Sus scrofa: one gene and its partners. The protein of the gene in region 5 interacts with the protein of the main gene of each other region in a pairwise test. Links are inferred from orthologs where the notes say so. Each region holds a gene or a part of one and is shown on either strand. Other genes may lie near its edges. The genes, in order: FAM161A, IFFO1, BNIP3L, SYCE1 and LMNA.

Region 1 (6,117 bases), on a different chromosome or scaffold from region 5:
TAACCATCCTTTATAAAATAAATGAAATAGCATTTATTTTTGGGCAACTTGGTATCTCTCATTCTGAATAAAATGTCATTAAGAGAAAATGTATCTAGCTACAAGTAGCTTATAATCCATTATGTACAGAGTCCACATGTAACATATAACCTGATTAAGGGGACTTTTAAAATTTAAAACAGCCTTGGGGGAGTTCCTGTTGTGGCTCAGTGGGTAACGAACCCAACTAGTATCCAGGAGGATGTGGGTTCCATCCTTGGCCTTGCTCATTGGGTTAAAGATCTGATGTTGCCTTGAGCCATGGTATAGGCTGCAGATAAAGCTCAGATCCTTCATTGCTGTCACTGTGGCATAGGCCAGCAGCTACAGCTCTGATTTGACCCCTTGCCTGGGAACTTTCATATGCTGCAGGTGCAGCCCTAAAAAAAAATAAAAATAAAAAAGCAGCATTGGGAATCAGTGTCAGCTTAATTTGGTTTTCAATTCCAGACATCATATAACATTTTTTTTCCTCCTACCAGGCTGATTTTAACACCGACGTTTCTGGGGTGAGTGAACAAAAACAGGATTTTGTGAACTTTTCTGATATTTACTACTCTAATGAAGAGTATTTCAGGAAACTAGAAGAGCTGAAGGCTGCCCACATGGAAACTATGGCCAAGTTAGAGAAAATGTACCAGAATAAACTAAATTTAAAGGAAGTTCAGCCAGTGGTCACCAGGGAAGAAGCTGCTAGTGTCTCTTCTAAGTAAGTTTGTACATAATGTTATTTGTGGAATGTAAAATAAAATGTGTACCTAAAAGTGCAGAACAAAATTATTTCAGAATATTTTCTCACAAATATTCCCCACATCCCCACTCCCCCTTTCTTGGCTTCTCAGCAGCATATGTAGTTCCTGGGCCAGGGGACAGATCCAGGCTGCAGTTTTGACCTAAGCTGCATCTGCAGCATGGCTTGATCCTTAACCCACTGTGCCAGGATGGGTATCGAACATGTGTCCCAGCACTCCCAAAACACCACCAATGCCATTGTGTCACAATGGGAACTCCGCAAATATCCCTTTTAAAAAAAATTTTTTTAAATTCTTTTTTGGCAACACCGTGACATGTGGAAGTTCCCAGGCCAGGGATTAAACCTGTGCCACAGCAGCAACCCAAGCCACAGCTGTGATAATGCTGGATCCTTAAGCCACAGAAGCACAAGGGAACTCCATCCCTTTGTGTTTTTAGTGATATACAGAAGTAGAATTTTATTCAGGTTGTTTGCTGGCCTATCGACCTACTAGGTGGCTTCTTGCTTTGAGGGTCATTTAGTGGCCATTTGGTCCTTCCTCTCTGACCCACCACTTTTAAGACTTTATCAGAAATATTTAGTCTGGGCCATTTTCAAATGATGAGTATTAAAATTTAATTTTAAAAGCTCTTTATAGTTAACATGAGCTTATTAAAGATAGAGTATGAATTGTTCAGGACTAAGGAATAAATCTGGGAGTTCCCACCATGGCCTAGTGGTTAATGAATCTGACTAGGAACCATAGGTTGTGGGTTCAAATCCATGGCCTCAATTAGTGGGTTAAGGATCTGGCATTGCCATGAGCTGTGGTGTAGGTTGTAGATGCTGCTCGGATCCCGAGTTGCTCTGGCTGTGGTGTAGGCCAACAGCTGTAGCTCCAATTAGACCTCTAGCCCAAGAACCTCCATATGCTGCAGGTGCAGCCCTAGAAAAGACAGAGAGAGAAAAAAGAAATCTTGATTTAAGTTTTCAAAAAATAGTAATTTTTGCCGTAAACTTGCTTCTTTTGAAACTCGAGGCAAGTCCCTTAACTCATCCACTTGGTTGGTGCTAATTTGCATCTCCCATGTGCCAGACTGTGCCTGGGCACTGAGGAGTCAAAATTAAAGTGCCCTCAAGGAAGTCCAAGACTAGCTGAAATCCAGAAATACAACACAGTGTAGCAGAGTGTTAGAGACAGAGGAAGAAGCTGTTGATTATGTCAAGATGTCAGTGGAGGGATGCAGGTACTTGAAGTGTCCTGTGTTCAATCTTAAAGGGGAAATGGCTGAAGCAGATGTAGGAAGCAAGGAATGGCATTCTAGGCAACAGAGCCATGTGTGCAAAAGCACTGGTGCCACAGAAAACTGTGTGAGGAACTTCCCATGATTAGATCTGACTTAAGAGTGGCGACAGGGGAGGGAGAGGCAAGATGTGAAACTAGAAAGGTAGACAAGGGCTAGTCCTCAAGGGCTTTATAATCTAGACTTTGTAACAACAAATTGTAGAAAAGTTTCTGGAAGGGGCATAAGGTGGTCAGATGTGTGTTTTATGATAGTGACTCTGGAAGATGTGTGGAGAATTCAGTAGCGGTTGGATACAAGGCACCTCTGCCGTCTCAGCTTCCTCCCCTGTAAATGACAAAGTCCAATTAGATTGTTTATAAGGGAGTTCCCGTCGTGGCACAGTGGTTAATGAATCCGACTAGGAACCATGAGGTTGCGGGTTCGGTCCCTGCCCTTGCTCAGTGGGTTAACGATCCGGCGTTGCCGTGAGCTGTGGTGTAGGTTGCAGACGAGGCTCGGATCCCGCGTTGCTATGGCTCTGGCGTAGGCCAGTGGCTACAGCTCCGATTCGACCCCTAGCCTGGGAACCTCCATATGCCACGAGAGCGGCCCAAAGAAATAGCAAAAAAAGCCAAAAAAAAAAGATTGTTTATAAGCATCTCGCAGTCTTTCTTCTAAAAAAAAAGCGATAATTTTCACAAGCCCTAACCAGCTCCTATTTTCTAACTTTTTTTTTTTTTTGGCCGCACCCTTGGCATGTGTAAGTCCCCAGGTCAGGGGTCAAACCCACGCCACAGCAGTGACCCAGGCCACTGCAGTGACAGCAGCTGATCCTTATCTTGCTGCACCACAAGAGAACTCCATCTAACTGATTTTATCTTGATCTTAGAAATTATGTAAATCTATTCTTTTTTTTTTTTAGAGCTGAACCTGCGGTATATGGAAATTTTCAGGGTAGTGGTCAAATTGGAGCTACAGCTGCGAACTACACCACAGCTCCTGGCAACACTGGATCCTTAACCCACGGAGCTAGACCAGGGGTTGAACCTGTGTCCTCATGGATGATAGATTAGTTTCTGCTGAGCTTCAGTGGAAACTCCCAGAAATTATGTAATTCTTTTTTTTTTTTTTTGTCTTTTTGCCTTTTCTAGGGCTGCTCCCACGGCACATGGAGGTTCCCAGGCTAGGGGTCTAATTGGAGCTGAGGCCGCCAGCCTACTCCACAGCCACAGCAACTCGGGATCCAAGCCTCGTTTTCAAACTACACCATAGCTCACAGCAACGCCAGATCCATAACCCACTGAGCAAGGCCAGGGATTGAACCTGCCATCTCATGGTTCCTAGTCGGATTCGCTAACCACTGAGCCATGACGGGAACTCTGGAACTATGTAATTCTTTTTTTTTTTTTTGGTCTTTTTGTCTTTTTGTTGTTGTTGTTGTTGTTGTTGTTGTTGTTGTTGCTATTTCTTGGGCCGCTCCCGCGGCATATGGAGGTTCCCAGGCTAGGGGTCGAATCGGAGCTGTAGCCACCGGCCTACGCCAGAGCCACAGCAACGCGGGATCCGAGCCGAGTCTGCAACCTACACCACAGGTCACGGCAACGCCGGATCGTTAACCCACTGAGCAAGAGCAGGGACCGAACCCGCAACCTCATGGTTCCTAGTCGGATTCGTTAACCACTGCGCCACGACGGGAACTCCGGAACTATGTAATTCTTAATTTTTATATTTAGTCACATGCAACTGAAAGAGTAACCTAATTACTCCTTTCACTTACTTAGGTCTGTATCAGAAAAGAGCTATTGTCCTGTCTCGTTAATGACATCGGTTTCAGAGCCTGATTTAGGTGAGTCTTCCTCCTTGGTTGTATATTCCTCTGAAGATGAGTCACCCAACTTAGAAAAGGAGTATTCTGAGAAAAGCAGAATGATGACCTATGCCAAGGAGCTCATCAACAACATGTGGACCAACTTCTCTGTTGAAGATTATATTCAGTTTGAAGATGCTGACTTGCCAGCACTTGAAAAAATAAAAAAGAAACCAAAAGAATGGGTTCCAAAGATCACAATACCTGAGCCTTTTCAAATGATGATTAGAGAGCAGAAGAAAAAGGAAGAGAACATGAAATCTAAGTCAGATGTTGAAATGGTACATAAACTGCTTAAAAAACAAGAAGAAGAATTAGAGTGTAAGAAAAAATTCCGAGCCAATCCAGTTCCTGCATTCGTTTTTCTTCCCCTTTATCATGATGTAGTCAAGCAAAATGAGGAACGGAGGAGGTCTATGAGGGAGAAATACAAAGAAGCTCTTTTGGCCTCACAAAGGCCGTTTAAGTTTATGGCAAGAGAGGAACAGAAGCAAGCAATTCGTGAAAAGCAGCTAAAAGACTTTTTTAAGTCTAAAAAGAAAACAAATCGATTCAAAGCCAGACCTGTCCCTCTATCTACTTATGGTTCAACTGTCAAAGACAAGTTAACAGAAGATGAGTTTTATAGAAACATTAGGACACAGCGGAGAGCCCAAGAGTTATTACAAAATTCATCCCCTCTGCCTTGCAGTCCAGCTCGCAGAAGTTTTGCTGCAAGGAAGCCCAGGTGTCCTGAACAGGCTGAAAGGTCAAAGTATAAACACAAAGTTAGGTGCCAGACTGCTGACTCTGAAGACCTTCCTGAGGGATATCAGAAATACCACTCGGAACAGAAATGTCCCAAACTCCTAACAGTCTGTGAACCGTCTGACCTTCATACAGCCTCACATGCCTCCACTAAAAGAGAGAAAATTCTGGCAGACATTGAAGCAGATGAAGAAAATTTAAAAGAAACACGTTGGCCTTATCTTTCTCCAAGGCACAAATCACCAGTAAGAAGTATGAATGCAAAGCCTGCATCTTGTAGCTACAACCCTCCAATGCCCACAGTGTCCTCTAGGGGAAGAGAGCAAGCCACAAGGTAAATAAGCGATGCGGTACTGATTCATGGTTGCTATTGCTTTTGTACGTGGAATTCGAAAATGTGAAGTTATTATATCTGGTAACATACTTTACTGTGTAATATAGAACATTTGCCAAAGGGTGTTCTTCTAAGAAGTGATATATTTTCCATTTTATGAATCTTTGGGAATAGAAATGGTTATAGTCAGCCTATTGATTTCTAATTTTACAAGTCAGATCCTTCTCAAAAGGTTGCCCCTTTTTTTCAACCTTTGAATTATCCTGTGTTAAATCTTTGCTAAACAACATTCTCATTGGCTTAAAGTGAATTAAGCCTTAGTTTGTTGCCCTCAGGAGATCACTTGAGGAAAAGAAAATGTTGGAAGAAGAGAGAAATCGGATCCTAACTAAGCAGAAGCAAAGAATGAAAGAATTGCAGAAACTTCTGACAACCCGGGCTAAGGCTTATGACTCACATCAAAGTCTAGCTCAGATGTCTAAATCCAGAGTAAAATCTCTCAGGTATCACGAGAGAGTCCTGACCCTCCAGATCATTGGTTTTCAAACTTTTTTTAATCAGTGGACCCAATATGTGAACAGATTAAGCATAGTGTTAGTATTTCAGTTTCTGGATCCAAGTTACCATCAGTTACTTAGAGTTAACTTACACACTCACCCTCACTCCTTTCCTTCATGGTAAGAACAACATGTATACTCACCCCATGGTGAGGACCATGATGCCATGTTGATGAACATTTTATATTGTGGCCATAGTTCATGGTTGTAATCTTCTATCAGCGTCTAAACCTTTTCATTATATTATTATTGCACAGTACGGTACTGAGAAAAATCTTGATTCACACAGAGCTCTCTCTCTTTTTTTTAACAGCTTGCCATGTAATCTCAGAATATTCGTCCATACAAAGATATGTCAGAGAGCTTTGTTCTAAGTTCTGCCCAAAATCTGATAGCACAAATTAACACACTGATGTTAATTCACAGTTATGTGATGGGTCAGTTGACATGTGTTAATGTTTAGGGGTATGTGTTACATATTGGAATTCTACAGTACAAAGTTTGAAAATCAGTGCTCCAGAGGAACATTTTTATGTTGCAGCATAAAAATGTTC
Region 2 (4,936 bases), on a different chromosome or scaffold from region 5:
TCCACAGGGAGCCGCTCGTGAGCGCCAGGACATCCCTGTCCTTCGCACCCACCGTCCCTTCCTTTCCTCAGTGAGTCTGTTCCAAGGTGCCAGGCCTGGCTCAGATCCCTTAGCGAAAGCCCCTGCGGGCAGAGGTGCCTGGGGAAACGAGGAGCAGTGGTGAAGCGGTGCCTCCTGCCCTGAGCTGGTTTGGTTTTAAATCTGAGCCCTACCCCACGGCTGCCTGCACCCCTGCCCTGGGTGCCCTCGGCAGGTCAGCCTCCTGGGGGCGGGGGCTCTACTGACCCGGCGGCCCTGCCCCCAAACCCCACCACAGCTGGAGTTGGCCACGGCCAAGAACGACATGAACCGGCACCTGCACGAGTACATGGAGATGTGCAGCATGAAGCGGGGCCTGGACGTGCAGATGGAGACCTGCCGCCGGCTTATCACCCAGTCTGGGGACCGGTAAGCACACCCCCCCCCGCCCCGAGTGTGGGCCCCTCTCGGACGACGAGCCCTGAGACCCTCCAGCAGTGACTTAGGCACTTGTCACGAGGCTGCCCTTTGAAGGTTGCCTCGTTTGTCTGGCCCAGGCTGGCAGCTTTTACTCCCTCAGCAGTTGGATACTTAGGTCCACTCACGGCTGCGCAGCCCAAACCTCCCGATGCCGCCAAGGCTGGTGGTTCCCCCACTCAGAAAGGCAGTTCTCGCTGTGGCATGGTGGGTTAAGGACCTGGCATTGCCACAGCTGTGGCGTAGGTCACAGCTACGGCTCAGATTCGATCCCTGGCCCCAGAAACGTTCATGTGCTTCCGGTGCCACCCGCTGCCCCTGCACCCCTTAAGGGCAGCTAAGAAGTCCCCCGGTGGCTCGGTGGGTTAAAGATACGGTGTTGTCACTGCTGTGGCTCTGGTTACAGCTGTGGTGCAAGTTTGATCCCTGGCCCGGGAACTTCTGCATGCCATGAGTGCCACTGAAAAAAATAAGAAAAGCAGCTAAATTCTGACAAAGAGTGCAAGGGGGTGGGGGCAAAATTTTATCTAAAGTTAGAGCCACAATTTGTGCCTTTGACTCTGTGTAAGCTTTGAAAAAAATCGTAAAACTAGGAGTTCCTGCTGTGGTGCAGTGGGTTAGGAACCTGACTGCGGCGGCTCAGGGGGCTGCAGAGGTATGGGTTTGATCCCTGGCGGCACAGAGGGGTAAACGATCTGGTGTTGGCACAGGTGTGGCATGGTTCAGTCCCTGGCCTGGGAACTCCCATATGCTGCACTTGCAGCCATGAAATTAAAAATAAATAAATAAATAAATCACAAACCCGCTATAGATAAGCATGGAGTGGGGGCCACAGAGCCAGGGCACTCAGCCGGCCCCTCTTAACTGTGACTTCACATCTTTCTGAACTCAGCCTCTATTCAGCCTCTCCTGGTCCCCAAGTTAAAAGTGGGAACTGTTCCCCCCATCGGGGTGGAGTGGGCAAGGTTTCCTCTTCCCTCCCTGCCGGCCTTGCCCTGCATCCGCATCCGCCCTTGTCCTGTAGTCCTCCTGCCCCGCCTAAGATGTTATTCACCTGCCTGCCAGGAATAAGGCCAAGGGTGCAGGATGCCAGCTTGTCAGGATTCTTGCATGCCTGGAGGAGGTTACAACTGGTGTTTTTTTCTAGAAAGTCTCCTGCTTTCACTGCGGTCCCGCTTAGCGACCCGCCGCCACCGCCAAGCGAGGCTGAGGACTCCGATCGCGATGTCTCATCTGACAGCTCCATGAGATAGGGACCTCGCGCAGCGGGGCCCTGCTGGGACTCACCGAGCCTGGCCCCTGGGACCGGGCGCTCCCCCGGCTTCCTCCCCTGGTCCTCGGCCTCTCTAGGGTCCTGGGGTGCCTGGAGTGAGGCTCAGCCCGCCCTTCCCGGGCGACTCCCTGCACAGCCGGCTGTCCTCCTTCATGCGTGGGTGTCCGCTACTTTCCCATCTTTAAAATGCTGCCAGAGTGCTCGCGACCCTCACCCCGTCCTCTGAGTAAGGAGTGTGATTGTCGGCTCTTCCTTCCACCCCGGTGGTCTTGAGCCAGCGGACCGTCCTGATTCTGTTCTGGTGCTCACTGGCCCAGGTGCTGGTACGGCCTGAGCAGCGGGAGAGGGCGTCCCTCTGTGTCGCAGGGGCAGGGAACAGGACTGGGCGGCTCTCTGCCCATGGACAGTGGAGTGACGCGGCCATGACCCTTCCCTCGTGGAAGTGCCACGCGTCTAGGCGGCCTCTGGGGCCGATGGGGTGCAGTAGCATGAGGGGACAGGAGCTCCTGCAGTCTCCCAGTCACTGCCGAGGGACGGAGAAAGGTGCACGTGAGCGTGTGTGGGCGCATGTGTGCTCCTGTGCTCAGGGGTCTGTTTCTTCAAGCATCAGCCGAAGATGCGCCTCCTCCTCCTCCTCCTCCTCGTCTGACACACGCCGAGTGAGAAGGTGGCCCAGACTCAGAAAAGCTTGGAGAAAAATGGGGAGACGTGACTGAGGGTACCTCGGCCTTGCTGGCTGAGGCAGGCTGTGCTGAACTGACGTTTGAGTGGAATCTAATCCTAATGAAACTGGCGAGTATTTATTGAACGCTTTGGTGTCACTGTTTCCAGCAACTTTTCGGTGGTGGCTCTGGTCCCTGTTGTGTGGTGTGCACTGGTGATCATTGCACAGACACACAGGGTTACAAGCAACTTGCCCAAAGTAATGGCACCTCAAGTAGCAGAACCAGGGCCTCCATCCAGGTTGTCAGTGCTGTCTCTGCTTCTTCCCACTAAGCCTGTGCGCATTCGCAGGTGACAGAAGACATGGAAATAAAACCACCCCAACCTTTCCCTTGGGCTAACCTACTGTAACTTCTCTGAACAATCTCTGAGCTGGCACTGGCACAGCTGTACCACAGATGGCAATCTCTTGGGCACTGAGGCTCACAGCTGTGACAGGGCAGAGCTGGAATCCACTCCTGGCAGTCAGGCCGTAGCCAAATGGACTTCCTGTGCCAGTGCCCCCCTCCAGGGAGCTGCAGACAGAATGGTGTCTTGGGTGCAAGCAGCCAGGCCATTCCTGGGTTCAGCCACGGCAGTCTGGAGCTGTAGCACCCAGAGGCCTCACTAAGGCAACACGAGGACAGGTGGCTCTTCAGAGGAGCCCAGGGTGGAGTTTCCTCAGCAAGCTCTAGTTCTCCTTGGCCCCAGCCCGGCTTCCCTCCTCTTTATCCCAGGCTCTAGAGTGAGAACGACAGGAGGCTGGGTACAGTGTACTTTATTGATGGTACATGACGAGGCAGGTCTCCCTAAGCCCCTCCCCTTCTTCCGGGGGTCTGGGATGGAAACTGGAAGTCAGGAGATGCTCGGTGTGTTGGGGGATCGAGTTGGGGCTGTGACTCCCCAGCAGCTGAGGGCCTCTCTCCTCCTCGCGTGCTCTTGCTGGGGTTGGTGGTCCAGGGGCTCTTACTCCTTGGAGGCCATGTGGACCATGAGGTCCACCACCCTGTTGCTGTAGCCAAATTCATTGTCGTACCTGAAAGGAGAGCAAGAGTTAAGTGTGGTTTTCCCGAGCAGCCACCAGGGGGCACCAGACTTGATCACATTCTGAAGCATCATCCCTCCCCACCCGCCACATCCCCCAGCACCCTACCAGGAAATGAGCTTGACGAAGTGGTCGTTGAGGGCAATGCCAGCCCCAGCATCAAAAGTGGAAGAGTGAGTGTCACTGTTGAAGTCACAGGACACAACCTGGGGAAGGAAGAGGGCCAATTACGGAACCCAGTCTTGGTCAGTGGGGTCGTGTGGACACCAAGTTCCCTGACCTATCAGTACCTGGTCCTCAGTGTAGCCCAGGATGCCCTTGAGGGGGCCCTCGGACGCCTGCTTCACCACCTTCTTGATGTCATCATATTTTGCCTGATGAGGTAAAAACCGATGGTTATTCAAGTACCAATCCTACAACCCCTCAGCCCCCCAAAGCTGTTCCAACCCAAACCTACAGGTTTCTCCAGGCGGCAGGTCAGATCCACAACCGACACGTTGGGGGTGGGGACACGGAAGGCCATGCCAGTGAGCTTCCTGGGGACACGAGGAAGCAAGCAGAGTCAGCACCACCCCTGCTGGTGCCCCAGACACCCAGGGCAGGAGAGCAGCAAAGAGCCTCACCCGTTGAGCTCAGGGATGACCTTGCCCACAGCCTTGGCAGCGCCGGTAGAAGCAGGGATGATGTTCTGGGCAGCCCCTCGGCCATCACGCCACAGCTTCCCAGACGGGCCATCCACAGTCTTCTGGGTGGCAGTGATGGCATGGACCGTGGTCTGGAGACAAGGAGGGGGAGTGAAGGCCCTGCCTAGCGCTTGTGACGCCTCCTCTGGGAAGAACTAAGGGACACAGTGCTTGGAACCACCCCACCCTACCCCTCCTCTGATGTCCTGAGCCCCTACAGCTCCGGGCTGAGCTCTGGGAGGGGAAGGATCCAGTCCTGGGTGAGGACAGAACGTGCTCTGGCTCAGTCCCCATCACCTACCATGAGTCCCTCCACGATGCCGAAGTGGTCATGGATGACCTTGGCCAGGGGTGCCAAGCAGTTGGTGGTGCAGGAGGCATTGCTGAAACGAGGGAGGCAAGTCAACGGGCAGGTCCACGGGGTCCCGCGCAGCATGACCCCCCCCGCCCCCTCCACCAAGCTCACCTGACGATCTTGAGGGAGTTGTCATACTTCTCATGGTTCACGCCCATCACAAACATGGGGGCATCGGCAGAAGGGGCAGAGATGATGACCCTCTTGGCCCCACCCTTCAAGTGAGCCTGCAGCAGAGGAGCAGTCAGACACCCGGGCTTCCCCTTTCCTGGTCCAAGTCAGCCTCCCCCAGTCTCCCCGCTACACCAACCCCGCGGTTAGGTCCCCTCCTCTTTCGGTTCCCTGCCGCTCACCCCGGCCTTCTCCATGGTCGTGAAGACACC
Region 3 (6,647 bases), on a different chromosome or scaffold from region 5:
AACCTAAGAAAAAAATCTCCAGGAGTTCCCGTTGTGGCGCAGTGGTTAATGAATCCGACTAGGAACCATGAAGTTGCAGGTTCGATTCCTGCCCTTGCTCAGTGGGTTAACCATCTGGCGTTGCCATGAGCTGCGGTGTAGGTCGCAGATCCCAAGTTGCTGTGGCTCTGGCATAGGCTGGCAGCTACAGCTCCAATTCGACCCCTGGCCTGGGAACCTCCATATGCCTCTGGAGCAGCCCAAGAAATGGCAAAAAGACAAAAAAACAAAACAAAAACAAAAACAAAAACTCCAAACTTGAAATAGTACAAAAATATACTCTAACCAGGGAAAAATTCTCAAACACCTAAATAAAAAAAAAATGAAATAAGCATCAGATATAAGTAGTTAGGAAAGAGGAAACATAACAACTAATGAGCACAGGGTTTCTTTTTGGGGTGACAAAAGTTCAAAATTAGATTAACGGCTGCACAACTTTGTGAATATAACAAAAACATTGAACTGTGAACTCTAAATGGATTAATTGTAAGGTATGTGAAGTATATCTCAATTAATCTGATAAAAAAGGCTTTAAGAATAATACAGTTTGGAAGAAGGAATTAGAGGGAGTTCCCATTGTGGCACAGTGGAAACAAACCCAACTAGTGTCCATGAGGATGCAGGTTCAATCTGTGGCCTTGCTCAGTGGGTTAGGGATCCAACGTTGCCGTGAACTGTGGTGTAGGTCGCAAATGTGGCTCGGATCCCAAGTTGTTCTAGCTGTGGCATTGGCCAGGAGCTACAGTTCCAATTCAACCCCTAGCCTGAGAACTTCCATATGCTGTGGGTTTGGCCCTAAAATGCAAAAAAAAAAAAAAAAGAGAGAGAGAGAGAGAGAAAGAGAGAGAGAAGGAATTAGATTATAAAAAGTCAATAAAACAGATATAAACCATTACCTAACATAATCCTGAGAAAAGAGAGGACATATAACACAATATAAGGAATAAAGGTAACATCCTACAGAAACAGAGCTAACCCCTCCCCCTAGAAAAAGCACTAGGTCTGGATGTTTCCTTAAGAGAAAAAAAAGTAATTTCAATTTTATCTATTTAAACCATAGAAAATGAAACTTTCTCATTAAAAAAAAATGAGTATAAAAAGATGAAGAAATGTTTACGACCTTTTTGAAGCACACCCTTTTTCTCTTTAGGGCTGCACTCAAAGCATATGGAGGTTCCCAGGCTAGGGGTCCAATCTGAGCTGTAGCCACTGACCTACACTACAGCTCACAGCAACTCTGGATCCATAACCCACTGAGTGAGAGCCAGGGATGGAACCTGCATCCTCATGGATGTTATTTGGGTTCTGTTAACTGCTGAGCCATGACGGGAACTCCTTGAAGAACATCTTTTTAAAAAATTCATGAACCCATCTACAAAACAGAAACAGAGTCACAGACTAGAGAACAGCCTTGTGGTCGCCAAGGTGAGGGAGGGGGAAGGAGAAGGATGAACTGGGAGTTTGGGGTTAGTAGATGCAAACTATTACCCTTGGAATGGAAAAGCAATGAGGTCCTACTGTTACAGCACAGGGAACTATATCCAATCTCCTGGGACAGACTATGATGGAAAAGAACATAAAAAAGAATGTACTTATATGTACAACCGAGTCACTTTTCTGACAGCAGAAACTGGCACAACGTTGTAAATCAACTATACTTTAATACAAACATTTTAAAAAACTTAGGATAGAATAAGGAGGGATATCAGCCTGAATGGTATACAACTTTGTAAATATGTCGATTATCTCCCCAAAGTTCATCTGAAGAGTAATTAGTCATGAAAAAATTTTTAAAGACAAAAAAGGAGGTCCTTTCTCTAATATTTATCTGATAGAGCTACTGTAGAGAAACCTGAAATGGACTCATTTAGAATTTGATAGAGGTGCCATTTTGGTGTGAAAAGGATGACTCAAAAATTAATATTGTTGGGTCAATTGGGAACAACTGAAGTTAAGCAATTCACAACACATAAAAATAAATTTCAGATGGATTAAGGGTATAAATACAAAAATTAAACCTATAAGAAAATTATAAAAATATATAGGGACTGGATTCAGTATCTTGCTGTGAGGGTGTTCCCAAGGCATATGAAAATAATAGATGTGATTGCCTGAAAATTTTAACTTCTGAGGAATGAAACAGGGTTAAAGGACAAGCGATAGGCTGAGATAAATGCCACACATAAATGAGACCAAGGAAACGACAAGTCATGGAGATACGAAGCAGGGCGAGTGTTCTGGAACATAGTTTACTGTCACTCACGTATAAGAAACATGGCTTCCCATGTTATGTCCTAGAAATTGTTAAGTGATGGAATGTGGATGATTGTTTTCTTCTCTATGTTTTCCTGAACTTTTCCATCTTTTTAAAACAAAGATTGCGTGGGGTCTGTAATGAAAAATTTTTGCATTATTTAACAACTAGAAAGTCTGGCCTGCCTTTATTGTTCCCTGCCTGGAGTGTCAATGTTCCACCAGCTTTATTTTAGGTTTACGACGGGGAGGCACCAGGGCTTCTTTTGCTTTCTTTGTGTCAGCACAATACCTATTACTGACTGAGTCCTTACAGATATTAAAAAAGAAATGCTCACAGATTGGATAAAACAATGTTGATACTGTAGGTGTGGGAGATTTGGGCGCCAGCGCCTGAGCGCCTTGCACTTCCTCATGACACACTTGTGCCCATCCTCTATCCTGGTTCCAGCCGCATACCTCACTCCATCCGGCCAATACAAATGACATGCAAGAATTCATTCCTGGCGCGGGCGTCACCGTGACTCGCGCGTCTCCAAGTCCGTGGCTCTCCTGGGCACGCCTGCGCCCCGCCCCGTCGCCAGTTGTGTTGTCATCACGTGGCTGGGGCGGGCCCTGACGTCAGGGGCGGGGGAGGGACTGCGCAGGCGCAGAAAAGGGGGCGGGGGACTCGGCTTGTTGTGTTGCTGCCGGAGAACCAGAGACGGTACTGCTGCGGTCGCAGCTCTTCCAGCCGCCTGACAATGTCTCACTTAGTAGAGCAGCCGCCTCCTCTGCACAACAACAACAACAACTGTGAGGAAGGTGAACAGTCTCTGCCCCCGCCAGCCGGCCTCAACAGTAAGTGCTGGCCCGGCGGGCTCGGTAAAGGGGATGGGGGAGGAGGAGCTGCTCGGGCCGCCGCCGCCAGCTCCGCGCTGGGGGCGGGAAAAGAAGGCAGCCCATTGGTCGAGGTCGAGGATGTGCGGGTGATTGACAGCTCCCATCACCCGTCAGGAGGAGTTGCTCTTATCTTCCTCCTGACCTCTCTCTTTTCCCTTCTGAGTTCTTGGGTGATGGGCTGTTGGGTTCGCCTTTGGGAAGGGTAGGTGGGTGGGAAGATCAGGGGGTCGAGCCGATCGCACCTGTGGTGAGCCCCTGAGTGCAGCCAATCGGGGCGTGGAGGGGCGGGCCTTGGGGCGCGGGGAGGGAGGGTGGGCGGAGCGGGCCGCCTAGGGGACGTGGGCAGGGATGGGGACGTGCGACGGGGACGCCGGGGGATGGACGCAGGCGCCGGTTTTAGGGGAGGGGGCGACCGAGGGACTGGCGGGTGGTCCAGTGTGCAGCGGAGCTTGGGCCAGGCCCGGTGACCACCCCTCACTGGGTCGGCCTTCCCTCCAGGGCTCGGAACGTGAGCCCTCTTGTTGCGTCCCTTTGTTAGCACAGACTGGTTAGGAAAATTATTTGGTAATTTAGTGGTTACTTGTATCACGTGAGGGGGGGTGAGGAAGCTATGATACTTTTTTTTTGAGAGGTTTCAGAGTTGCTCAAGTAATTTTTTTTTTTTTAAACGATGAGGTTATTTGCCCTGTAAACCTGATTATGAACAGCTCTTGAACCATCCAAGATCGCACAAATCACAGTGACTGGGGCAATGAATTTCGTACACCGGGGCAGTTGAAAGTTAAGGGCAGTATCGAATTACGACCAACTACAGTTGCTTTTCCTAACATCCTGGTGCTTAGACATCACGTCCTAAGGTTATTTCCAGTTGTCTTTAAAGCTGGCTGCAAGTCTTGGAAAGGTTCTTGCCTAACCTTCCTGTAATTCATCTCCTGGAAGAGGTGGTTGGGACAGTTAGCATATGGCCAGATGAAGTCGTTTAAAAATCATTTGGATGCTTAAATGACATTCAAAGGCACTTAAGTATCTTTCATCCTAGGGAGGTGTTTCAGCATGGCCTAAAAATTTTAGGGAAGCGAGTTCCTGTCCTCACAAGATGGGGATAGAATTTGAGTATTTTCAAGATGTTTTCATTCCTTATTGCTGCTGCTCCTTCTGATGGATAATTCCTTAAATGTTGACTTTTAAAAACTTTTTGAAGTGTTCTAGAACGTAAGGTTTATATATTAATTCCTACAGTAAATTAGGGTTAATGTTTGTGTCTTTAAACATTACTTGCTTCAAATATGAATATGCATTTTAACATTACTTACCAGTTTTTAGCCTCCTCTTTTAGAAGGATGTGGTTTTAGGATGAGAAGAAACTTTAGAGGTAACTGTCTACTCTTATTTACTGGTAGAGAAAGAGGCCTAGAGTAAAGTGTGTTGTCCATGTTCACAGCAGGTTATGTCCTAAAGTGGAGGTTTTACTTTCACCCCGTCTGGCATTCCTTTCAGGACACATCTTTTCAGGGGCCCACTATCCCCTGATTATGTGTGTTTCTTATTCTCTGTTACCCTACCTGTTATTTAGAGGTAGCCTGCTGATCTGTCTCTTTTTAGTACACTGTTTCCTAATTGTATTCCAGTTTTCCTATGATACAAGTTGGTTATTTGGTTAATATGTATACACAATTTCACAGAAAGTGAAGGGATTTTTATTTTCTTTTGATCATGTGACAGGAAAATGGGGATGAGCTATATGGGATGGTTTTTCTCCATGTCCTGACAGACCTATGTTTGATGTCCTTGGCCAATCAGTTGCTGCTCCATTTGTATTCAGTCTTACAGAAGTGGAAGAACACTCAGCCTGTGTGTGCTATCAAAATGTTGCACATTTTGGGAAGTCTGCTACATAGAAAGTATTTTATTTAAGCTAGGGTGAGCTGCTTTTCAATGTTACTGAAAAGCTTTTAGATAGTGCCATATTTCATTACTTTCCTCATGCCTTTTACTGTTTTTTTAGCTCATTATACAACACTAGACTGAACAAAAACAAGCCTTATTGATTCCTTCAAGTGATTTTGGGCACTGAGCAGAACAACTTATTCAGGCATCTAATACTATCCAAATTGCTGATAAGTTGAAGTTCTTTGTTGGGTAAAGTTGCACAACTCTGAAAAAAAACAGGAGATGAACTCATTGTACAGATTATCTCTGGCTTGGGATTTTATCTTTAGTGCAGGGGTCAAAGCAGAGTTTTAATAGCAAGTTATTGAAATATTTGGAATAATGAAAGCTTTCTTTGATTTTTTTAAAAAGTTTATCCTTGTAAGGGAACTGTTCACTTTCATTACAAATTAGTGGACAAATATCTGAACTACTTCCAAAATTAAAAGGACATTTTTCAGTTGATAGTTTTATTCTAGAGAAAACTATCAGGTCACTTACAAATATTTGTATTGGGAATTTATGTCATAAAATTCAGTAAGTAATATAAGGAAAATTATGGTAATAATTTGTGCATGTTGGAATTACAGCCCTTTTTTATCTTTTTAAGCATCTACTGTGTTGCACTTGCTTCCCCAGGATGGCAAGAAGGCTTTCAAGGCCATGACACATGAAATTTCAATGCCTTATGATATTGTTTTGAACACCTAAGTGGTGTATAAGCAGGTACTTGTGCAAGAAGGTCAACCTTTTTTGAGAAGAGTATTAGTGACTGTTCTCATTCCAGATTCCAGCATCAGGTACTTGAGATGAAATAAAGGTTTTGAGGAAAGAAGATAAGACGTAATGACATGTTTCACTCCCTAGTTAGGATGAGTTACATGTGGGACCTTGAAAACTTGGGGAGAGAGTGAGAAATACTTTTTCCTTTTCTCCCTTCCCCCCACTCCCCTTCATGCAAGAGGATTGAACTGGTGATTATAAAATTATAAAGCATGAATATGGCATACGGTTGTGAATGTAATCACCGTTACTGGACCAGCCTTCGTGATGAACCACAGGTGTGTTACAGAATGTAGGCACGTGCTCTGAATCCTCTTAGCAACTCTCAGTCTTAACCAGAAAATATCTCATGTTTTGTGTCTATATGCAACCTGGCCTAAGAGAATTGTTTTTAGTTTGTAAATAGTCTTTTGATATAATCGAGTTTCTGGTTTTTAATTTTAAAGCATGATTATTAGGAAGAAAATTCACTCTGCGATTTTTCTCTACTCTGCATTGCTTGGACAGCACAGTCCTCATATTTTGCCGTCTTTCCTTTCCAAAGAAAAACGGACTTTGGAGGATTGGTAGAATTAGAACATCAAGAAATTCTGAGGCTATAAATCAGGAATGAAGTAAGTGATGAGAAAAAGGCATGTGGAGTTCATCTATTGAGAAAGACCAGTTTGCTTTTTTCCCCATTTACTCAAAAGATAAAGCTCATTGTAAACTCTTAATGGATATCTGTGTACTGACTTTCTCTGCAGCACTGTATATTTCTA
Region 4 (6,117 bases), on a different chromosome or scaffold from region 5:
ACCATGACCCGATTCATCCCTTGTGCAGTGTCCACTTAAGGTCAAGGAGCAGAAGCACCACTTTGGCTGGAAACCTGCCCTCAACCCACCTCAGTTCCAGCCCAAGGTTGTCAGATCTTCCCTCAGGCTTCTCACACCTATATGATTCTTAAATGTTTGGTTTTTGTCTCCACAGGGCAGGCCAAGTCCTCACAAAAAATAGAAGACTTGATGGAAATGGTGAAGAAGTTGCAGAAAGGTCACGTCTCCTCTGTAACTAAGGCTCAGCCTGAGGTTTGGGTTCAGGCAGAAGTAGAATCAATTCTAAGCCCCCATATTCACAAACTTGGGAAATGAAGTCATTTGCTTTCTCTTACTTTTAAACCTTAATTTTCTGAGTTAAAAATATGACCCATGATTCAAAGTTAAAGTGTAATGCAATAAAATGCAAAACATTGTCCTAACACTCCCCTTACTCACCATCCATTTGGCTCCCACTGCGATTTGCTGAAAACAGTTTTTCACCTTTACCTCCCTTCCCTCCACCTCACATCTGCTCCTCTGTGCTTCCTTACCAGACACCTCCCAGCCATGTTCCTACCTCAAGGCAGGCCTTTGCACTGTCTCACACCCACCCAGCGAACTTCAAGGCCTACCCCACCCTACTTGATTTGGGGCTCTCAAGAGGTCTTGCCATATCTGAAGAAGCGTGTCCTGCTCCTTTACTTTTTAATCCATTACCTATTTCTCTTGACCGCAGTTACCACAATCTGACTTTGTCTCTCTCTGTTCCTGTCTCCCCTACCCAAGATGTAAGCCCTTGGAGGGGCATCCACCTCCCTCTGTCTGTCCTGTCATAGTCACTCAACCTCCTTTTCTCCCTGCAGCGGGAAGCCTAGAGCCCAAGGTTGAGGTCCTGATTAACCGGATTAATGAGGTTCAGCAAGGTGAGCTCAGGACCTTGCCTTGTCAACCAGGATAAGTTATGTGATTTGCAGGACTCAGTGTAAAGTGAAAATGCGGTGCCCCTAGTTCAAAATATACAAAGTGTTTTGAAAGAGCAGAGCATTAAATGAGGCATGGGTTGGTCCATCTAAATACTAACTGCTATAGTCATGTTTATTAACCTGGCCCTGCTGCCACCTGAACCTAACAGGAAGGGCTTAGGCTCCTGGAAGCCCCATTTCCTGCTCTGTAAAGCCTGAGCCCCTTTAGGTTTACTTGAAGACAAATGTGAAATATTTGCAAGGAAAAGACACTTAAATAATGTTTTACTCTTTGGCACAGCAAAAAAGAAAGCCAGTGAAGAGCTGGGAGAGGCCCGGACTGTCTGGGAGACCCTGCAAAAGGAACTTGACTCATGTAAGCTTGTCACCGGTCACCCAGAGGTCCACACAATGTCATGCAGCTTTGAACACAGTATTCCAGATGTCTGCGTTCTTGGCTGTGACCAAGGGCTCCTGCCCTTCAACCTCAGATCCTTCTAATCCCTGCTCCTCCCACTGTGTTGGTGGGAAGGTTCCTGAAAAACTCTGTAAGCATGCCTCTACCTCAGGGCCTTGGCTAGACAGTCCCCCCAGATACCACCACTTCCTGTTGCCTCACATCATCCTCAGCTCTCAGCTCAAGTATGCTCAGAGAGGCCTTCCCCAGTTACCTAAAAACAGCACCCTGTCCCTGCCTGGGCACGTGCCACTTACTGCTTGATGTTATTTCTTCACAGTCCTTGTCCCACTTCATGTGATGTGTTTCTTATTTTTTCTCTCCCTTTCATGTAAACACACTGGCATCCCACAAAGTCATCACAGACACCCTTTATCACCTTCAGGACTCTAGTGCTTATAGCGAGTGTCAGCACAAGAGAGGAGAGGGTCACCTTGGGGGTCCACATTTGGGGTCAGGGGTAAGCCTGTATGAAACTGCCCATGTGACCGTGCGCAGGCCTGGTCCCCAGGGGTGCAGTGAATGGTCCCTGATGCCTGAACATGTTACTTTTTCCAGTGAGTGGAGAGAAAGTACGCCTGAAAGAGATCTTGAGCAAAAAGCAAGGTAATTATAGCTGTTCTGTCTTCATGTTTTTGCCTTTTCCAACCTGTATAAGCCTACTCTCTATAGTGATAGAAGCCTTTTGAAACCTGAATCACCTTGCACCCCTCCTGTGGATTCCACCACAGTAAATGACAGTCCCATACGGTGTCCACATGACCTGGCCCTTTTACCTCTGCCCAAACCTCATGCCTTGATGAGCTCTCATGGCCCCCTCACTTCCTCTCTCTGCAGAGACCCTGAGGATCCTCCGGCTCCACTGCCAGGAGAAGGAAAGTGAGGCACAGAGGTAAGAGCCTCTACCTGGGCCCTGCTCCAAGCTACCCCTTCATTCTGGTAGAGAAAGTAAGTGAAATCAGTTTTAGACCCACAGCTCTCATCTTCTCCCTCTGTAAAATGGAGAGGCCAAATAAGGGTCTTTCCATCTTGGCTGCAACAGCGGGCAGTAGTGTTAAGAATACCCTCTCACTCACCCACCTGGAATAAGCACTCATTTGCTAGAATGTTAAATTCCTTCAGCTGGTTTTTATTCTGTACCTTTGATACTTTCCACAGCAGCTGTTTGTTCGCTTATCTGTCCCTTCATTTAAGGCATCAAGCCAGCCATCTCTCCATCCATTATCCTTCCATCCACCCAACTATTTGTGCATTGATCTCTACCTCCTCAATGCTTATTTTGCTCATCTTGTGACCAGAAGCCCCAAGCCCCTAGCATACCAAGATTGAAACTGTTAGAGAAATTCACATGAGGTTAACCTGTGTGATTGTGCATTTGACCAGACCCACACTGATCTCTCTAATCTTCACAATGACATTTCCTGGGGGCATGTGCTCATGTCCCCCTACAAAGTTACAGAGATGGACCTCAATCTAGAAGGCTAGAACAGACCTCAAGAGAAGGATGCAGAAGCCCTACCCCAACCCCTGAATGTAGGGAGACATTCAGAGAACATGATGAAGGGCTGCGCTGACTCTTGCCAGGAAGCAAACCATGCTGCAGGAATGCAAGGAGCGAATTTCTGCCCTGAATTCCCAGATCGAGGAAGAAAAGAACAAACAGAGGAAGCTGAGGTAAAGCCCATCACCTGAAGCCTGATGGGCTGGGCTGGGTTGTCAGTGGGAGTTATACCAGCAATGGAGGTTAGAAGAGTAGCTGGCCGAGCTGAAGCTTGGAGGGTCAAAGTGGAGAAGGTGTTCCCAGCAGCATGAAGAGCATGGGTGAGCTCCCCCTGGTCTGTGCATGAAGGCCCTAGCTGTGCAAGGTTGGGGAGGGGTGTCTCTCAGCCCACGGCCCCTCATCCTATGTGCTTGATCTCCAGGTTGGATTTTGAAGAACAGCTGGAGGATCTGATGGGCCAGCATAAGGACCTCTGGGAATTCCATGTGAGTCACTCAGCCACTCCTTCAACCTTCCGCATCTCCCCCGGCAGCACCAGGCCCCAAACCAATGGAATTCTCCAGGCCTCCTTCCTCTGTACTTCCACACCTAGTTCCGTACAAACCCTGGCAGCTGTGCAGCACCCTCATTGCCACCTGCTGCTGACCTCTTCACCAGACCTGCCCACCCATCCCTGATGCTCTCCAAGTATCCTTAAGTGGTCATGAGGAACCCCGATGAACCAAGGAGGGCTCACCCAAAAATGAGATCCATATATGTATTTGGGGCCATCACAGACACAGGGCAGGCATCTGGGGATCCCAAACAAGAAAATAGGCAGAGAAAATGACTGTCCAGATGGAAGAGCTCAGTGAGGTCACATGATGGTAAGAGGAGGAGCTGCATTACTGGGTGGTAACTTACTCTCAAAAGAAAAACCTTGATTTGTACTGTTTGCAGGATCTCCTGTAGTAAATACTCATTCTAGGGCCGATTTCAAACCTTGTTTAATTCCTGAATACTCATGACCTCATGAGCCTCTCCAGCATAGCACAGCACCCTAGGTATCTGGAGTGAAAGCTCTAGGCAGAGGGAATGGCCAGTGCAAAGGCCCTGAAGCTGGACTGTGCCTGGCATACATGGAGGGCCAAAGTAGTAGGAAGTAAGGAAGACCAGATCTTGGTCAGCTTCACTGCAGCACATGGGAGATGTGGACAGGCCATCTTTCTACCCCTCAGAAGCCAGAGCAACTGGCCCTGGAAATTGATGCCCTGGACAGCAACAAGGAACAGTTGCTCAAGGAAGGTGAGGCCTGGAGAAGGGATGCCCAGATCAACTCTGCGCTGCCCTGCCCTGCCCTACCCTGCCCATCTGTTCCTTCCTGCTACAGAGAAGTTGGTGGAGGCAAAGCTGGAGGATGTGAAGCATCGTCTGTGTTCCCAGTTTGGAGCCAAGGGCTGCTCAACCATCACTGAGGGGCTCTTCCTCCGCAGCCAGGAGGCAGCAGCTGTGGTGTAAGGCAGAGATGGAGAGGGTGGGATGGGGTAGAGAAAGGGAGCTGCTAGCACTGATGGCCCCATCTTCAGGCATCTGTTTGAAGAGGAGAACAGGAAGGCCCAGGAGCTCCTGGGGGCTGCTGCCCAGCGCCAGGAGCAGCTACAACAAAAGTGCCAGCAGCTACAGCAGAAGAAGCAGAGGTGGGCACAGGGCCCCTCCTTGCAATCCTCACTGGGAAGGTAGCTGAGGGAGTCTCCTCCCTCTCAGACTCTGTCTCTTGGTCTCTTCACAATCCTACCCTTCTCCTTCCCCAATCTCCTACCCTACCTCAGGCTGAAAGAAGAGCTGGAAAAGCTTGGGGTGCAGGTCCCTGCTCAAAGCCAGAGAAAGCAAGAGGAAGGAGCTAGCCCAGGAGAAGCTGTGAGCCCTGGAATCGGGTGCAGGGAGCAGAGACAGCTCATGAAAGGAGCTGGGGGTGGGAAGGCAAGGAGGGGGTCTGCAGAATCCTGAGAAGATGGTCTTCAGGGAAAGGCATTCTTACAGGGACACAGTCAAGACAAAGGTGCAGAGGCTGGCAGTGGTGGGGTGAGGTGGGGCAGATCCCAGGGAGGGTGTGAGCAAAGGAATGTGAGGGGATTTCAACCTCAGACCTTGACCTCCCACAGGCTAATCCTAAGACCCTTGGAGTCAGTGAGGAGAAAGACCCAGAGCTGCCCATCAAGCAGGGCCTAATGTCTTCCTAGGCAAGAAGGACCCACCATACACTGGCGCTTATACCCTGGGCTTCAGGAAATAAAGGCACCACTTCAGTACAACTGCCTCAGCTGAGTCTGTGCTAGGTGGGGGATTGTCTGTCCCAAGACCTCTGGGCCACATTCTGCCTCTTGGCCTCAGCCAGAGTCCCACAGCAAGCACTCAATAAATGCTTCCCTAAGCTTACAGTCTCTGGGTCTGCTCATCTCTAGGACTTGACATGATCAAGGACCCCCAGGCACAGGGATGCAGGACTGAGACCTTCTCACAATAGGCCCAGGGGTTATGTAAACCAGAACCTCAGCCTGTCAGTTCCATGCCCACAGTCCCCATTGATTAGCTGAGAAAAAGAAATGTAACTGGATCCTAAATGTAGTTTGTACCTTCATGGGCACAAACTCTATACCTGAGACACTGTTACAAAAGCAGAGTATGTCAGAAATCCTCAGTGTCCTGGGAGTCAGTCACCTTGGACTATTGTGTGCTTATCAAATCCACTGGAATCCATCAATCCAAGCAGGGGCAATGATGGGAGTCAAAGTCTGTGCTTTTGGGTTAACAGACAGTGGATTCAGTTACAAAGAAATTCCTTCTCTTAAAAGGCTCCCCCATTCAGGTAGAACAGTGACATAGCAGGACAGACAGAAACTTCAACAGCCCTCATTTCTGTGTGTGTGTCCATTTCTTTACCTGATCATGGAACTACAGCTGGTATTTATAACGACCTTCACCTTCTTCCAACATACTTTCTGTATCTACTTTGCCTTTATCAAACAACTCTGGTGGTTGTGCTTCTTACTTGGTGGGGTAACCCTAACTTTTCTTCCTGAAGGCTGTTACTTACTGGTTTGAGTTACTGAAATTTTTCGTTGGCACTGATTGTAGGGCATGGTGATAGTTAAAGAAGCCTTAGGGTGTCTCCTGTAGCGCAGACATACTTTCCTTACCTCCACCCTGGGGAAAAA
Region 5 (6,117 bases):
CTCCCTTCCTGGGGGACTTGGCTCTCTTTAGGGGCATAGACTCTTTCCCCTAAACCCCCTCTTCCTTGGCTTCTTTAGCAATACCAAGAAGGAGGGAGACTTGATGGCCGCCCAGGCCCGGCTCAAGGACCTGGAGGCTCTGCTCAACTCCAAGGAGGCAGCACTGAGCACCGCTCTCAGCGAGAAGCGCACGCTGGAAGGCGAGCTGCATGACCTGCGAGGACAAGTGGCCAAGGTGGGGCCCACCTGCCCCCTGTCCCCCTGCCCCCAAACAAATACACACTCTTCCACCCCAGGTGCTCTCAGGAGGTACCTGGTCTGATCTGTCACATGGCCTTGGAGCCATTCACGTGTCCTAGAATTGTTGTACCCATCCAGACCATATTGCACCTCCTTTGCTGCCCATGTCCAGCAGCGTGAATTTAGAAGGATCCGTAGGAATTCCCATCGTAGCTCAGTGGTTAACGGATCTGACTAGGAACCATGAGGTTGCGGGTTCAATCCCTGGCCCCGCTCAGTGGGTTAAGGATCCGGCATTGCCGTGAGCTGTGGTGTAAGTTGCAGACTTGGCTTGGGTCCTGTGTTGCTGTGGCTGTGGCGTAGGCCGGCAGCAGCAGCTCTGATTAGACCCCTAGTCTGGGAACCTCCATATGCCATGGGTGCGACCCTAAAAGACAAAAAGACAAAAAAAAAAAAAAAAGGAAAGAAAAAAAATCCATAAACCATTTCCATTTAACTTCGCAATGAATTGTGCCTGGCCCTGGATCCCTCCTGGTCTGGCCCTGCTGTAGAGAGCTGTGATCTCTTTGGAAGATGGGAGAAGAATATAGACCATCCACAGAGCCCTGGTTGTAGGAAGCTGATGGTTAATCACATATAGATGCATGTTCTTCTTCTTCTTTTTTTTTTTTTTTTTGCTTTTTAGGGTCACACTCGCAGCATATGGAAGTTCCCAGGCTACACCACAGCCACAGCAACGTGGGATCCAAGCCGCATCCGTGACCTACACCACAGCTCACGGCAATGCCAGATCCTTAACCCACTGAGCAAGGCCAGGGATTGAGCTCGAATCCTCATGGATACCAGTCGTGTTTGTTACCACTGAACCATGACGGGAACTCCTTTTATGTTTTTTAAGATTCATGTTCTTAGTGGTTGGCATGTATATCATGTGTATGCAATGGTCTTTACTTTCAAAACACTTTGCTATCTATCCTTTCTCTTACGTTACAAGCTAGGGAACAGAATCAAAGAAGCTGGCTTGTTCCCAATCTCACTGCCTCATCTGCCCAGAGCAGGGCCAGGACTAGAGTTAGTCCAAGGGTCAGGTCCTGGGCTCTCTACCCCGACGAAGGCCCTGCCACCACAGTAAACTGAGGAGTGACCAGGAAATGCCAGCAGGTTGACTACAAAACCAAGACTGGGCCATCTTTCTCCCAGGTCTCTGCCCTGCCCTGCAGCCCCTCCCAGCTGCACTGCCCAGCTCATGTTTGTTAAGATGAAGATCTAAGAAAAGTGCTCCCAGAATTCCCTTGTGGCACAGCAGGTTAAAGATCTGGTGTTGTCACTGCATCGGCTTGGGTCACTGCTGTGGTGTAGGTTTGATCCCTGGCCCAGGAACTTCCACATGCTGCAAGCGTGGCCAAACAAACAAAACAAAACAAACAAAATAAGAAAGGAGCTCCCCTGCTCAAACTTTAGAGGCTCTTTTTGTGGCAGATAAGGGCTCGCCTCTCCATGATCCAGCCCCTGCCTTCCAGCCCGGCCACCTCTGCCATCATGCTGCCCCTGCTCCGCCCTGTCACTCAGACTTCAGCAGTACTGAGGCTTCTGAAGATCCTGAAGTGCACGTGTGTGCCTTCATGCCTCAGTGCCTTTGCACTTGCTCCTGTCTGCCCCAGCAGTCACGGCGGTGTTCCTCTCCAGGCCCCGATAACCTTGTCCTTCAGATCTGAGCCTCTTACAGGCCTTCCCACCCCAGACACATACTTCCTTCCTGTTCCTTCTCTACTCTGAACATGCTTCCTTTATAGCAATTGCTAGGTTGTGCCAAACAGAGGAGGCAATTTTTTTTTTTTTTTTTTGTCTTAATGGCCATACAGAGACATATGGAAGTTCCCGGGCCAGGGATCAAGCCGAGCCACAGCTGCAATCTTCATCAGTTACAGCATTGCAGATCCTTACCTCCCTGCACTGCTGCACCACAGCAGGAACGCCAGTCTTTTTTTTTTTGTCTTTCTTAGCACTGTACCTACCCAGAGTCGTTCCTGCCAGGGAGTGGATCGCCTTGCCTCTGGGGGCACCCAAGGCTCTCACTCCCCTGGACCTGTTTGTGCACATAGAGAGGGATGTGTTGGATGCTCCCCATTCCTCAGCTTCCTTCCAGCTCCGATGTCCTGTGAGCCCTCTCCCTGACCTCTGGCTCCTTCCTCTCTGCCCCCTTCCTCTCAGCTCGAGGCAGCCCTGGGTGAGGCCAAGAAACAACTTCAGGATGAGATGCTGCGCCGAGTGGATGCCGAGAACAGGCTGCAGACCCTGAAGGAGGAGCTGGACTTCCAGAAGAACATTTACAGCGAGGTGGGGACTGTGCCCTGAGACCGGAGGACAGACGTCAGAGCTGGGGCTGGGACATTGGCTGTGTGCAGAGCTCCCCTGCCTGACTCCCTTGTACTAGTGGATGGGGAGTTGGGTCTGGGGGGACGGGGAGTGGCCAGCCCTCAGGTTAAAGGGGGGCTCACAGTGGCTCCATTCGCGGTTAGGATTGGGTCGGGAGCTCAGCCACCTGCCTGGGTCCCATCCTCAGAGGACTAGTTCTGATTTTGGTTTCTGGGTCCAACCCTTCCAGGAGCTTCGGGAGACCAAGCGCCGCCATGAGACGCGGCTGGTGGAGATTGATAATGGGAAGCAGCGCGAGTTTGAGAGCCGGCTGGCAGATGCCCTGCAGGAGCTGCGGGCCCAGCACGAGGACCAGGTGGAACAGTACAAGAAGGAGCTGGAGAAGACCTATTCTGCCAAGGTGCTCGCTCTCCTGTGGCTCCCTCGCTGCCTCTGACCCTGGCACCCCTCCCCCCACCTCTGCCACCCTGATACGTCCCTTGCGGGATCGGGTGGATGATAGCAGGAGCCCCGGGTGCCCAGGACCTGAGGCTGCAGCAGAGATGCCGTTCCCAGGTCCCTTCCGGCCCCTGCATCCCTAACCCCGCGTCTTCCCCTCCAGCTGGATAACGCCAGGCAGTCGGCCGAGAGGAACAGCAACCTGGTGGGGGCCGCCCACGAGGAGCTGCAGCAGTCCCGCATCCGCATCGACAGCCTCTCGGCCCAGCTCAGCCAGCTCCAGAAGCAGGTGATGCCCCCACCTCACCCCCTCCTCCAACAGTCTGGGCAGGACATGGGGTGGGGGTCCTGAGGGCAAGAGGGTGCAGGACAGGACATGCCTCCAGGACCCCAGGCTAAGTAAGAAGCCTAGGGTTTGGAGTCAGATGACCTGTTTGCTGTTCCAGGACTTTCTCTTATCTAAGCTGAAAGACCTTCCTTCTCAGAGCCTTGGTTTTCCCCTTTGAATATGCAGATCATTCGTATCGTCCCTAGAGATCTGCCTCAAGACTCAGTCGGAGGTGTCGAAAGCATCAATAGTCTAGCTGGCTGTGCCATTTGTGGCAGGAGGAAATAGATTCAAGCCTCAGATTAAGAGATTTCAGTTGGACTTTGAGAAGGACTGCCCGGTGGCCAGCCAGCCGAGGCCTCATCAAAGTCCATGAAAGGCTCTGATGAGAGCTGAGGATCCTGGCGAGGCAGCTGGGTGTCCCCTACCCCTTACCTCTCCCCATTTGGGGCCTCTGGGAGCTCACCAGACCCCTGCCTCCCTCTCCCAGCTGGCAGCCAAGGAGGCCAAGCTGCGGGACCTGGAGGACTCGCTGGCCCGTGAGCGTGACACCAGCCGGCGGCTGCTGGCCGACAAGGAGCGGGAGATGGCGGAGATGCGGGCAAGGATGCAGCAGCAGCTGGACGAGTACCAGGAGCTGCTGGACATCAAGCTGGCCCTGGACATGGAGATCCACGCCTACCGCAAGCTCCTGGAGGGCGAGGAGGAGAGGTAGGCTGCGGGGGAGTCCAGGAGGTGCTGGCAACCGCCTCCAGCCTGCCACTGGCCTTGATGAGGCTCCCCTCCCTGTCTCCCCCTCTGCAGGCTACGCCTGTCCCCCAGCCCGACCTCGCAGCGCAGCCGCGGCCGGGCCTCTTCCCACTCGTCCCAGACGCAGAGTGGGGGCAGCGTCACCAAAAAGCGCAAGCTGGAGTCCAGTGAGAGCCGCAGCAGCTTCTCCCAGCACGCTCGCACCAGCGGCCGTGTGGCCGTGGAGGAGGTGGACGAGGAGGGCAAGTTCGTGCGCCTGCGCAACAAGTCCAATGAGGTAGGCCCCCAGGTGGGGTCTGAGAACACAGCGGGCTTTGGGAGAAACCCCAAAAGTGAAGGGATGGCGTTTGAGGGCAGGGCCATCCCTCTCATCAGAGACAGACCAGCGCGTGTGCGTGTACCTCTCCTCCACACTCAGGCTCCAGTCCTGGCGCCGGGGCTCATCAGTGGCCCTGAGACCTTAGGCAAGCATCAGTTTCCTCATCTACAAAGAGTCCCGAACTCTTTGAGTTCTTGGGAAGATGAAAGCTCAGAGTGCGTCTAGCCCAGCATGCGTGCCCGTAGGTGGCCACTGTCATCCTTGAAGGGGAGAGCGGTGAGGGGCGGTGGATGAGAGGGAGAGACCTCTGCCTGAGGCCTGCCTGGGCCCTTGAGTGGGAGGATCCCAAGAGCCCGAATGAGCCTCCCCCGCCTTCGGCTTCCCTCCCTGGCAGGACCAGTCCATGGGCAACTGGCAGATCAAGCGCCAGAATGGAGATGATCCCTTGCTGACCTACCGCTTCCCTCCAAAGTTCACTCTGAAGGCCGGGCAGGTGGTGACGGTGAGTGGCAGGGTGTTTGGGACGCGGGGGTGGCTGTGGGTAGGGATGGGTTGGCCCAAGGATGGGAGTGCTAGAGTGAGAACCCTTCTCTAATTCTCCCTCACCAGATCTGGGCTGCGGGAGCGGGGGCCACCCACAGCCCCCCAGCCGACTTGGTGTGGAAGTCGCAGAACACCTGGGGCTGCGGAAACAGCCTGCGCACGGCTCTCATCAACTCCACTGGGGAAGTGAGTATGCTGGCCTCTCGCTGGCCAGGGCTCCCCGGATGAGACGGCCAAGGTTGGAGCCAGCTTGCCCCCAACTCAAGGGAGCCAATTCAGGGCCACTTGCCCCCAGCTCTCCTGTGCAGTCGCAGGCCCCAGACCCTCTCAGTGGGCAAACCCAAAGAAGCCTCCCCCAGCAGTAGGAGCGGGGAGGTTGGACAGGGAGGGTCCTTAAAGGCAGACCGTGCTCCTACCCAGAGGGCTTAGCAGTGGCCCTCTGGGGCACAAACAAGTTCCTCAGCTCCAGTGCCACAGAGGAAGGACAGAGTAAGCCACAGGTTGGACAAAGGGCAGACCACGAGGAGGTTCTTAGGGGGTCCCTGGGGTGGGGCTGCTGTGCAGCCCCCCTCCCTCAGGGCTCTGAGCCCCTAACCCCCGGGTGGGATCTTGTGTCCCCGGCAGGAGGTGGCCATGCGCAAGCTGGTGCGCTCGGTGACCATGATTGAGGACGACGAGGATGAGGATGGAGATGACCTGCTCCATCACCACCACGTGAGTGGCAGCCGCCGCTGAGGCCGAGCCTGAGCCCACCCTGGGGCACCCAGCCAGGCCTGGGGACCGCCTCTCCCCGGCCACCCCGTGCCAAAAATCTTTTCATTAAAGAATGTTTTGGAACTTCACTCGCTGCCCTGGCTTTTCTTCTCTCTCCTCCCTGTACCGTGAACGGGGAACCCAGGTGTCTGGGTGCCCTACTCTGGTAAGGAAGGGAGTGGGAACTTCCTGATGCCACGGAGTCTTCCCTTGGGAGCAGCGGGCAAGGCTCTGGATTTGTCTCCTGGGACGGGCACGGGAGGACAGATGTGGGGCTCCCAGCCCTGCCTCTCTCCCCCCGTTTTCTGTGGCGTGCACCTTTCTTCTTGTCCCCTCCCCATTCCTGTCCCATGCATGGCTTCTCACTTTC

The links.
Region 1: the proteins of LMNA (region 5) and FAM161A interact in binary tests that used the Homo sapiens proteins (3 or more experiments, as listed by UniProt). The link is inferred for Sus scrofa from reciprocal best matches to the Homo sapiens genes LMNA and FAM161A.
Region 2: the proteins of LMNA (region 5) and IFFO1 interact in binary tests that used the Homo sapiens proteins (3 or more experiments, as listed by UniProt). The link is inferred for Sus scrofa from reciprocal best matches to the Homo sapiens genes LMNA and IFFO1.
Region 3: the proteins of LMNA (region 5) and BNIP3L interact in a two-hybrid assay, tested with the Homo sapiens proteins (2 studies listed by BioGRID and IntAct). The link is inferred for Sus scrofa from reciprocal best matches to the Homo sapiens genes LMNA and BNIP3L.
Region 4: the proteins of LMNA (region 5) and SYCE1 interact in binary tests that used the Homo sapiens proteins (3 or more experiments, as listed by UniProt). The link is inferred for Sus scrofa from reciprocal best matches to the Homo sapiens genes LMNA and SYCE1.

Annotation. Positions count from the first base shown.
Region 1 is NC_010445.4:79,961,899-79,968,015, forward strand, and holds part of FAM161A (protein FAM161A), read left to right. Parts: intron 1-521; coding exon 522-748; intron 749-2,321; exon of another isoform or gene 2,322-2,403; intron 2,404-3,839; coding exon 3,840-5,006; intron 5,007-5,341; coding exon 5,342-5,509; intron 5,510-6,117. UniProt on the Homo sapiens protein: Involved in ciliogenesis.
Region 2 is NC_010447.5:64,126,447-64,131,382, forward strand, and holds the end of IFFO1 (intermediate filament family orphan 1), read left to right. Parts: intron 1-316; coding exon 317-447; intron 448-1,642; coding exon 1,643-1,748; 3' UTR 1,749-3,386; downstream 3,387-4,936. Other genes in the region: GAPDH (glyceraldehyde-3-phosphate dehydrogenase), read right to left, coding at 3,437-3,506, 3,624-3,721, 3,806-3,889, 3,973-4,051, 4,139-4,290, 4,500-4,581, 4,665-4,780, 4,907-4,936. UniProt on the Homo sapiens protein: Nuclear matrix protein involved in the immobilization of broken DNA ends and the suppression of chromosome translocation during DNA double-strand breaks (DSBs).
Region 3 is NC_010456.5:10,315,759-10,322,405, forward strand, and holds the start of BNIP3L (BCL2/adenovirus E1B 19 kDa protein-interacting protein 3-like), read left to right. Parts: upstream 1-2,929; 5' UTR 2,930-3,035; coding exon 3,036-3,132; intron 3,133-6,647.
Region 4 is NC_010456.5:141,726,234-141,732,350, reverse strand, and holds the end of SYCE1 (synaptonemal complex central element protein 1), read left to right. Parts: intron 1-175; coding exon 176-238; intron 239-866; coding exon 867-926; intron 927-1,266; coding exon 1,267-1,341; intron 1,342-1,980; coding exon 1,981-2,028; intron 2,029-2,259; coding exon 2,260-2,314; intron 2,315-3,006; coding exon 3,007-3,096; intron 3,097-3,344; coding exon 3,345-3,408; intron 3,409-4,140; coding exon 4,141-4,207; intron 4,208-4,292; coding exon 4,293-4,416; intron 4,417-4,488; coding exon 4,489-4,599; intron 4,600-4,731; coding exon 4,732-4,909; 3' UTR 4,910-4,950; downstream 4,951-6,117. UniProt on the Homo sapiens protein: Major component of the transverse central element of synaptonemal complexes (SCS), formed between homologous chromosomes during meiotic prophase. Requires SYCP1 in order to be incorporated into the central element.
Region 5 is NC_010446.5:93,900,870-93,906,986, reverse strand, and holds part of LMNA (prelamin-A/C), read left to right. Parts: intron 1-78; coding exon 79-235; intron 236-2,451; coding exon 2,452-2,577; intron 2,578-2,845; coding exon 2,846-3,016; intron 3,017-3,217; coding exon 3,218-3,343; intron 3,344-3,872; coding exon 3,873-4,093; intron 4,094-4,186; coding exon 4,187-4,409; intron 4,410-4,845; coding exon 4,846-4,953; intron 4,954-5,060; coding exon 5,061-5,180; intron 5,181-5,618; coding exon 5,619-5,708; intron 5,709-6,117.